Xenopus tropicalis: one gene and its partner. The protein of the gene in region 2 purifies or fractionates together with the protein of the main gene of each other region. This does not show direct contact. Links are inferred from orthologs where the notes say so. Each region holds a gene or a part of one and is shown on either strand. Other genes may lie near its edges.

The links.
Region 1: the proteins of mthfd2 (region 2) and hras purify together in Homo sapiens (co-immunoprecipitation; 4 studies listed by BioGRID and IntAct, with this or other methods). This does not show direct contact. The link is inferred for Xenopus tropicalis from reciprocal best matches to the Homo sapiens genes MTHFD2 and HRAS.

The regions. Positions count from the first base shown.
Region 1 is NC_030680.2:34,323,701-34,328,005, forward strand, and holds the start of hras (GTPase HRas), read right to left. Parts: upstream 2,807-4,305; 5' UTR 2,695-2,806; intron 1-2,694. UniProt on the Homo sapiens protein: Involved in the activation of Ras protein signal transduction. Ras proteins bind GDP/GTP and possess intrinsic GTPase activity.
Region 2 is NC_030679.2:121,283,968-121,288,165, reverse strand, and holds the start of mthfd2 (bifunctional methylenetetrahydrofolate dehydrogenase/cyclohydrolase, mitochondrial precursor), read right to left. Parts: upstream 2,811-4,198; 5' UTR 2,762-2,810; coding exon 2,682-2,761; intron 1-2,681. UniProt on the Homo sapiens protein: Although its dehydrogenase activity is NAD-specific, it can also utilize NADP at a reduced efficiency.

The DNA.
Region 1 (4,305 bases), on a different chromosome or scaffold from region 2:
GTACTTAAGCTTGAAGTCAATCTAGAAAATCATTATGTACACATACATATAAAGCGCCAACATATGCAATAGTGTTGTACAACAGAAGGATATACATGTTAAGCATACAAAAACTGAATGATGCATTAGGTATAAAGAGGGTCCTGCTCAACAGTGAAGTATTCTGATATGGAAACCAACAGCCATTGGCTAAAATAAGAAATGAACTGGTACAGTTATGGTATCCGGGTGGGTTTTCTACTCTGCGCCGGGCCCTTCCAAAGATTGTGGGATTGGGGATGGGGGGGGGGGCGATTGTGAATCAGTGCAGTTGCCATTTGTTTGTGTAGCCACATGGTACAATATCCAACCAATCAGCAAAGAGTATAATAAAAAATAATCAGCCCATGAGCGGGCAGTAGAGGGATAGTTCACCTTTAAATTAACTTTGAATATTACCCTGTAAATTATACTAAGAAAGAAAATTTGCAGTTGGTCCTCATTTTTTATGTTTTTTTTATAATTTCACTTTACATTCAGCAGATCTCACCCCACCATCACCTTGTTCCACTTAAATCACTGAAGTGATGGATTTCTGGGACTTGACGTCCCTCTGCTTTCAAGAGAATCTGTGAACCACCCACTATCTGTGAAACTCCCACTATGATAAGCAGAGGGATTTTAAGGGAAGTGTTTCATTACACTGTGAGCCTAAAGGGAGTGGTGTAGGAAACAGTTCATACAAGTAATATGGCACACAAGTAATATCCAAATCCTGCTGAAAAAAAAAAAAAAAAAAACTAGGGGGCAGATGTATCATAATGTGAATTTAGCTTAATACATAAAGTCTAACCAGAAAGTGCTTTTTTTGAATAATGAAAGAGAATATGCAGTAACACATCTTTCCAATACACATTAAACATGTTCAATTGTTTGTAAATTTAAAAAGCAGCATCTGACTGGCTGTTTACATTCACTGCAATTCTGGTTCTGACTCCTGAAACAATGTAGCAGAAGTTAGTCTGGAAATTACTGGCTAAATAGCAGATACATTCACATATAACTTAAAAACCACAGACAATCTTCCTACCTGTAGCCACAATATTTCTGATTTTTTTACCATATGACTGGTGACTCTCAGGTGTGGAAGTTTCTCTGGGGCTGGGCCTGCTTGCTGCCTCTTACTCTTTTCTCTGAATCCCCATGCAGCTGCTGGCCTTGGGTCCCGCCCAGTGCACTAATATTGGTAATATTGGAAATATCCCAGTTTGCTTTTCTATTGCTCTACGCTGTGGCTCTGCAATGTACCGGGAGGCACAGCAATGAATCAGCAGCCAACAGGTAGGTACATGACATCACACAGCAAGAGATGCGGCAGCAGAAACCTTAGAGAACTGCTCTGTTATTGACATAAGACCCTCCCCCATAGCAATATGAACAAAACACTGGAAAGCCTAGAGAGACCTCAAAAAGCAAATTCTCCTTAATTGCATTATCGTCATCCCATCAATATTTCAGCCTGTGACATATCGTTCCAGCATAGGCTCCTTGGTAGCATCAATAGAGCTCAGAGGAGGTTTGTTACAGGCAAGTAGCCAGGGTCAGCCAAGGACAATGAGAGAGCAACATCCCATACCCAACAGGGCTGTGCTGTGTTGCAGGGGTCTGGGGGGGTCCCTTCAGTAATTGGTGAAGCTGAATGTTATTGTGATTCTTATATGTTATTGCTTATTTTTCTTTTCAGGTCCTCTCCTAATCCATGTTGGCTTCAAAACTGGTTGCTAGGGTGATTAATGCCTAGAAACCAGATAGCAGTCAAGAGCTGCAGAAAATAATGTAAATGATTCAAAAACCACAAAAAAAAAAAATAAAAATGAAGATCAATGGCAAATTGTCTTAGAATTCTGCTTTCGACATCATTCTAATATGTAATTGATTCCCATGTTCTCCCTGAGATGAGTGCATTGGTCAAAATTCCTCTTTTACCACAGTCCTGACAGTGATTATCTTGGTGCAAGAGCTCACAATCAGATTTCCTTTTATTAATAGAACAAGGAATGTACCAGTCATAATAGCCTTCCCATCATTTCAATTCCTGCCCATATAACGGCAGACTGGGCAAAGTATGGCAATAGGCACCAGCCTAAATTCCAATGTTAATGTCCTATCCTGGGCTGGCACTACTAAACATCCACTGTATTAGGGCATGACAGAGATGGCACGGAATTAGCCCTGGGACCCCAGATTTAAAAAATCCCCTTGGAGGAAAAATGTTGCTTTAGCACATACCTCAGAGATGTTCAACCTAAACCTATTGGGAGGGTGCTGGCACCCAGCTGTAGTTCAACAACAGGGTCACAGCTTGGTAAGCCCAGAATCACATCAATCAATAACATCATCAACTCATTACTCCGCAGGGGGCGGCAGAACCATACTAACAAGTGGGTTGATTTACAAGACTGCAGCTGGGAAGGGAAAAGGGCTAGCACCACAGTTATTTGCCCCAATTAAAGTTCCCATAAATAGTGTTGGCAACTTTCCTTCTCTAATACAGCAAACAGCATAGCAAAACTGAAACAAAAACCCAGCTTCAACTATTACAATATCCCACCCCCGTTTGTATATATAAGAATAAATAGGAAAATCATTTCTGCAGCCCCTGCAACAGGAAACCAAAGACCCAATCAGGAACGCCCAGCGATCGCAGCTACTTACCGCAGGACTGTAGCAGGTGATCCCCCCCACATTAAAGTCAGCTGCTCTCCCTCGCATAGAACATAATACCTAGATCAAGCATTAGGGCAAAAGGCGCAATTTTTGCGAAGAGCAACAGATCTTTCAGCAGGCAATGTGTGGCGCTGCCCGGTGCCGCTATGTGAGCTGAGCACATACAAGCAGAGCAGCAGGGAGCAGATGAATGGGCGGCTTGGGCGTTGCTCTCTATGCAGCTGCTGCATTCACCGCTCAGGAACAATGTGGGCAGCCCACGCCCAGAGAGCTACTAAAAACCACGCCCCCAATGCAGTCAATCAAGAGTGCCTTCAAGTTGTGATTGGCCGAGGAGGAAGGACTTAGGCGGGAAGGGCATCCCTTGGGTTTGTTATTAGTTGGAGTCGGGGAAGGGGACCCATAGGGAAACGGATTCATTCATTTAGTACATTTACAAGTTTTGCGTTTTTATGTGGTGTTTGCGCTAGCGTTGCGTTACAAAGGTTTGTTTATGACTGCTGGACTCCTAAGAATAATGCGCTTATAGAATTGTTAATGTCTACCCATGTGCTGCTCTGTATCTCACAGGGGTAACTTGCCCACTTGGGCGCATTTTACTACCCGGTGCCGATGTATGCCTTTACAGCGTCTGGCGCGCAGTTTTGCAATTATGCTCTGAATTGTGGGAAGGAATTTTGCATTTTTTTTTTTTTTTAAAGTGTGCTGATTTTTGCATTCTGCAATCGGCGTTAATAAATGAGCTCCAGAGTGTTGGCTTTTGCCTGTGTAATATCATGTAAAGTAGTGTAACTTTACTGCTGGCCTGCAATAGCTTGTTTGGGCCATTCCATTAGCTCAGTGCTGTCCAACTGGCGGCCCACGACCCCCATCTGTGTGGCCCCCCACCTGTCTGGCTGCTTTGATGGCTTACCTTTGTGTAAGATTTAAATGGTATCAGTACTGTGATTAACTGGCCCCCCTGCATGGTTCTCACCTCAGATTCAGGCTGTAATCCCCCTGTATTGTTTAAACATGTAATCCCCTGTGTTGTTCACACCTTTTAATCTCTGCATTGTTCAACCCCTGCAGTGTTCACACCTCAGGCTCAGACTGTAGTCACTCCCATTGTTCACTTCTTCACACCTCAGACATGGTACTGTAGGCAGAGTATGGCACATACAGCCAGCATAGGGCAAGGAGGGTATGGCACACACAGGCAGCATAGGGCAGGGAGGGTATGGCACACACAGGAAGGGTAGGGCAGGCAGAGTATGGCACACACAGGCAGCATAGGGAAGGCAGAGTATGGCACATACAGCCAGCATAGGTCAGGGAGGGTATGGCACACACAGGAAGGGTAGGGCAGGCAGAGTATGGCACACACAGGCAGCATAGGGAAGGCAGAGTATGGCACACACAGGCAGCATAGGTCAGGGAGGGTATGGCACACACAGGAAGGGTAGGGCAGGCAGAGTATGGCACATACAGCCAGCATAGGTCAGGGAGGGTATGGCACACACAGGAAGGGTAGGGCAGGCAGAGTATGGCACACACAGGCAGCATAGGGAAGGCAGAGTATGGCACACACAGGCAGCATAGGTCAGGGAGGGTATGGCA
Region 2 (4,198 bases):
AGACCAGCTTCCAATATCAAGAATTAAAACTAGATTCTTGTCTCTAAAATAATAAAATTGAACAGAAGAAGAACCAGAAACAATTACCCGATTAATCATTACCTTAGAGAAGAGACAACTATTCTATGAACACAGAGTAAACAACTGTTATTTATACAAGACCAGCTGCACAAATAGACAAATTGAACTTTACAACTGATATGGCTACTTTGATTGCAGTAAGATACACTGGTCGATACTGTTTGGAATGGATACCGTCCAACTGCCCATATACCGTATGACCAACTTTTTTTTTTGTCCTCTGGGGCCGACAGTCAAACGATCTGTTCCTCATCTGCCCAAACACTGGCAGATATTGTGCATCAGCAGGGGACCTTTCCCAACATGTCCATCAGACACAACTGTTATCCATGGTATGACACAACAGGATGAGGTTGTTGCCCCACCATACACAAACTGAACATTGTACAGAACTTTGTTTCATACCAATTGCCGGCTTAAGGAATTAACGGACAGGGCACTTCGATTTGCTTAAGCATTTCTGTGCTCACCACAACATGTACTTAAATCATAACATTCCTATAATTTTATATATAGAAATAAAGAGGGGGTTTTAACCACTGCTGTTTTCTGCCTGAAAGCAGCTGTGGTCAACATACCCCTTCTGAAATTAGCTTTAGGCTATGCCTACATGGCACTGTCACTAACACTGCCTATTACTACCCCCTGAAAAAAACTGTTGGTTCCAAACTGCTGTCAGTCTTCAAGGTAAGTAGGTAGGTGTTTCCCTCCCGATTGTAAGTACTTTCTGCCCCCTTTAGCTCTTGTATTGGTCACTTTTTTAATACATAATCAGTATGTTCAATGTATAAACCTATTTATTGTACAACTTTGAGTAGTAAGTACTTTATAATTATGTGTTAATAATTGTACCCTAACCCTCAAAAAATATGTATTACCAGACCAGATAACACTTTAGCTAAAAGATGACCCCCACCCCTCTACCAACAGGGCAGAGGTTTCACCAACACTTCAACAAAGTCTAAGCTCCTTCCACTTCCTCCCTCCCCCCCCCCCCCCGCACCCCCTGGGCTTCCAGATGATGGATCCCATACCTGTACTTCCATCCTTACATCCTCACTGTGCATTTACCCCCCACTCCACCCCCACATGGCTATATGTCATTAGAACTGCATCACATGTGCCGAGTTTTGTAGTCATAACAAGTAAATGGCTGATGAAGTAACGCGGCCCCTAAAGTTGTGCGTGTCGGCAGAATAAACCACTCACACCTACTGAGCACCATTACATAAAGGCTGGCTGTATGTACAGTTTCCTTTATGTAATGTTTTGGCCAGGACACTCCCCACAGCGGAAAAAGTGACATTAGTAGTTGGAACAGTAGGTGAAGCTCAGCCGCTCTTTAGCAGCCTAGCTATTCCATACATGACAATGTTACGCAATATACAAATTTAGAATAAAATATAAAAAGGAAGCATTCTGTGGCAGCCTGTCCCTTCTATATAATACAAAAGCATATTATCCAGCACTCTGCCAGCCTTTGTATCCCTCCCCGACCAACTTTCCCATCTCCTTTAGTGCAGCCCTCCAATAAAGATTTTAAATCCCCTCAAAACCCAGACACTTTCCCCAGCGTAAGTTCCCACACAGTTGTTACCCACGTCTTCTCTCATCATTGCCATTATTCCTCCTAACTCACTAGCTGCTCCCATGCCTCCAGAACTAACCAACATCATTCTGCCACAATCATACCAACGTGCTATCCGTTCCCACTGCTGGTTCCTTTGCTTACACACAAATGCACACTATGGAAGTGCTGTTTAAATGAATTGTGATTAATAGTTATCAAGGGCTTACCACACACTGATCATTTTCATTAAAAACAAATTATTACAAAGCTACATAATGGCAAATGTCCGTGTCCCAGTGTGATTCAGTGTTGGGGTACCCCCTGGACAGATGGAAAAGCAATTATGTTTCACGAAAATCAAGTTTGTGGATATAGAAATACACATTCAATGGCAGGGGAGACACTGAGCTTCAACTTTAAGGTGGGCGGGGCATCAGAGAGCGGGGGGAGGGAAGGCAAAGCCAGTGCAACCAGCAAAAGGGATTTCATCAGCCAGGCTTCACTTCCTGTCCCTGCCAATACACACAGCTCCCATGGCTACAAGCATCCTACCATCATATTAAGGCTATAGGGCTAGCCAATGCCCACACTGCATTCATGTCACTGTATAAAGCCATTATGTGGATAGAACACTAACAACAAAGCATTTCACGAAAGCATAAGTTAACTCTAAGGTCACACTACTTCCTACATTATAAAACTCTTACAGCAGTCGCAGAGAACGCTGGGAATTGTATTTCCAATACGGTCTATGCTATTTCGTTTAAGATTTAAGGGCATTAAATGAGCATGGTTCCCAGCTGGCAGCCTCTTGCTCTAATAAGCTACTCCTCCCCTCCATAATATGACAGATGTGACAGACCGCTTCACCAACGGAGAAGGAGTATTGGCACTGACATAGAACGGACTAGGCTGCTGCCTTTGTTGGTTTGGCGGGCGGGCTCATCTTATCCGGCTAATGAGGGGGGGTCCCGACAGGGGTAGGACCAGTTTGAATAAGGCAAGGTCACTAGCAGGGACTCGCACTTACCTGCAAGGGGTACAGTGGATCGCTCGGACCTGGGCTCTTACAGCGCAGCACAGAAAGCGGAGAGATGTGAGGGTTGCCATGGTGAGCACCGAAGGGCTACCGGGAGGTAACTTCCACTAAGCCTAAAAGGGGACACCACGCTGGAGAGCGGGCTTTATATAGACTCGCTGACGTCAGCGACTGTTCGCAGTACCACGCCCACTGTTGCTAAGCGCCTCGCCCGCTATCTGAGTAGGATGTGATTAAGCACAGCGTTTTGTCATTGGCTGCGTAGGTTAAAGGGGCGGTACTCAGAGCGGCGTATAGTTCCCTATTTATGTTTAGCCGCTGTCCTTAGAATTGGAGGGACGGGTGTAATTTGTGCTGTATGCGTGTCTATTTGGCAGTCTGCCTTAAACAAAAAAAAAAAAAAAAAAAAGGTGGGGGTGGGAAAGAATTGGGATTGTGTGGTTTTTTGGTTTAGCATTCTTATAATTTACTTTCCTATCTCACACCAGTTTTAATATATTGTACGTTTTCCCGTTGTTTGTGAAGTCTGGTTTCTGTTACACAAGAACGTTCGAGTTGAGGCTGCCGGATGGCTGCTATTGTTCTGCTGTGTGTATGAAATCATCAGTGCTGATGTTATTACCAAAGCAAACTGGAACATGTCATAAAATAGTATGAATTTGGCCATAGATTAGCTATACCTGCCTGTGCGTTTTCCTATTTTCAATCATATGGCCTGACTATCTTGGCATGTGTGTCAGCTCCGGGGTTGGGTTCAACTGATTATTATTTCATTCTGTTGGACTGTGGCTGATCTGGCGAGAGTGTACATTTTGGGGCCCATTCATTAAAGCACGATAATCACGACTGCGAAAAATTTGTATTTTTTCTAAAGTTTAGAACTTTTCATAATGACCGCGATAATATAGTTAAAATGATGCAACTTTTTTCCATTTTGCGTAAATTTGCACAAAAAAGTAGTATTTTTTGCAATGACTACAACCATTTCGGAATTCATTGAAGCTTTAGTATCATGACTGTCTTTTGGCCAGGTTGGAGCTGCAGAGTGCCATTGAGCCCTATGGGAGACTTTCCTTGGGCCGGGTTGGAGCTGCAGAGTGCCATTGAGCCCTATGGGAGACTTTCCTTGGGCCGGGTTGGAGCTGCAGAGTGCCATTGAGCCCTATGGGAGACTTTCCTTGGGCCGGGTTGGAGTTGCAGAGTGCCATTGAGCCCTATGGGAGACTTTCCTTGGGCCGGGTTGGAGCTGCAGAGTGCCATTGAGCCCTATGGGAGACTTTCCTTGGGCCGGGTTGGAGCTGCAGAGTGCCATTGAGCCCTATGGGAGACTTTCCTTGGGCCGGGTTGGAGCTGCAGAGTGCCATTGATCCCTATGGGAGACTTTCCTTGGGCCGGGTTGGAGCTGCAGAGTGCCATTGAGCCCTATGGGAGGCTTTCCTTGGGCCAGGTTGGAGCTGCAGAGTGCCATTGAGCCCTATGGGAGACTTTCCTTGGGCCGGGTTGGAGCT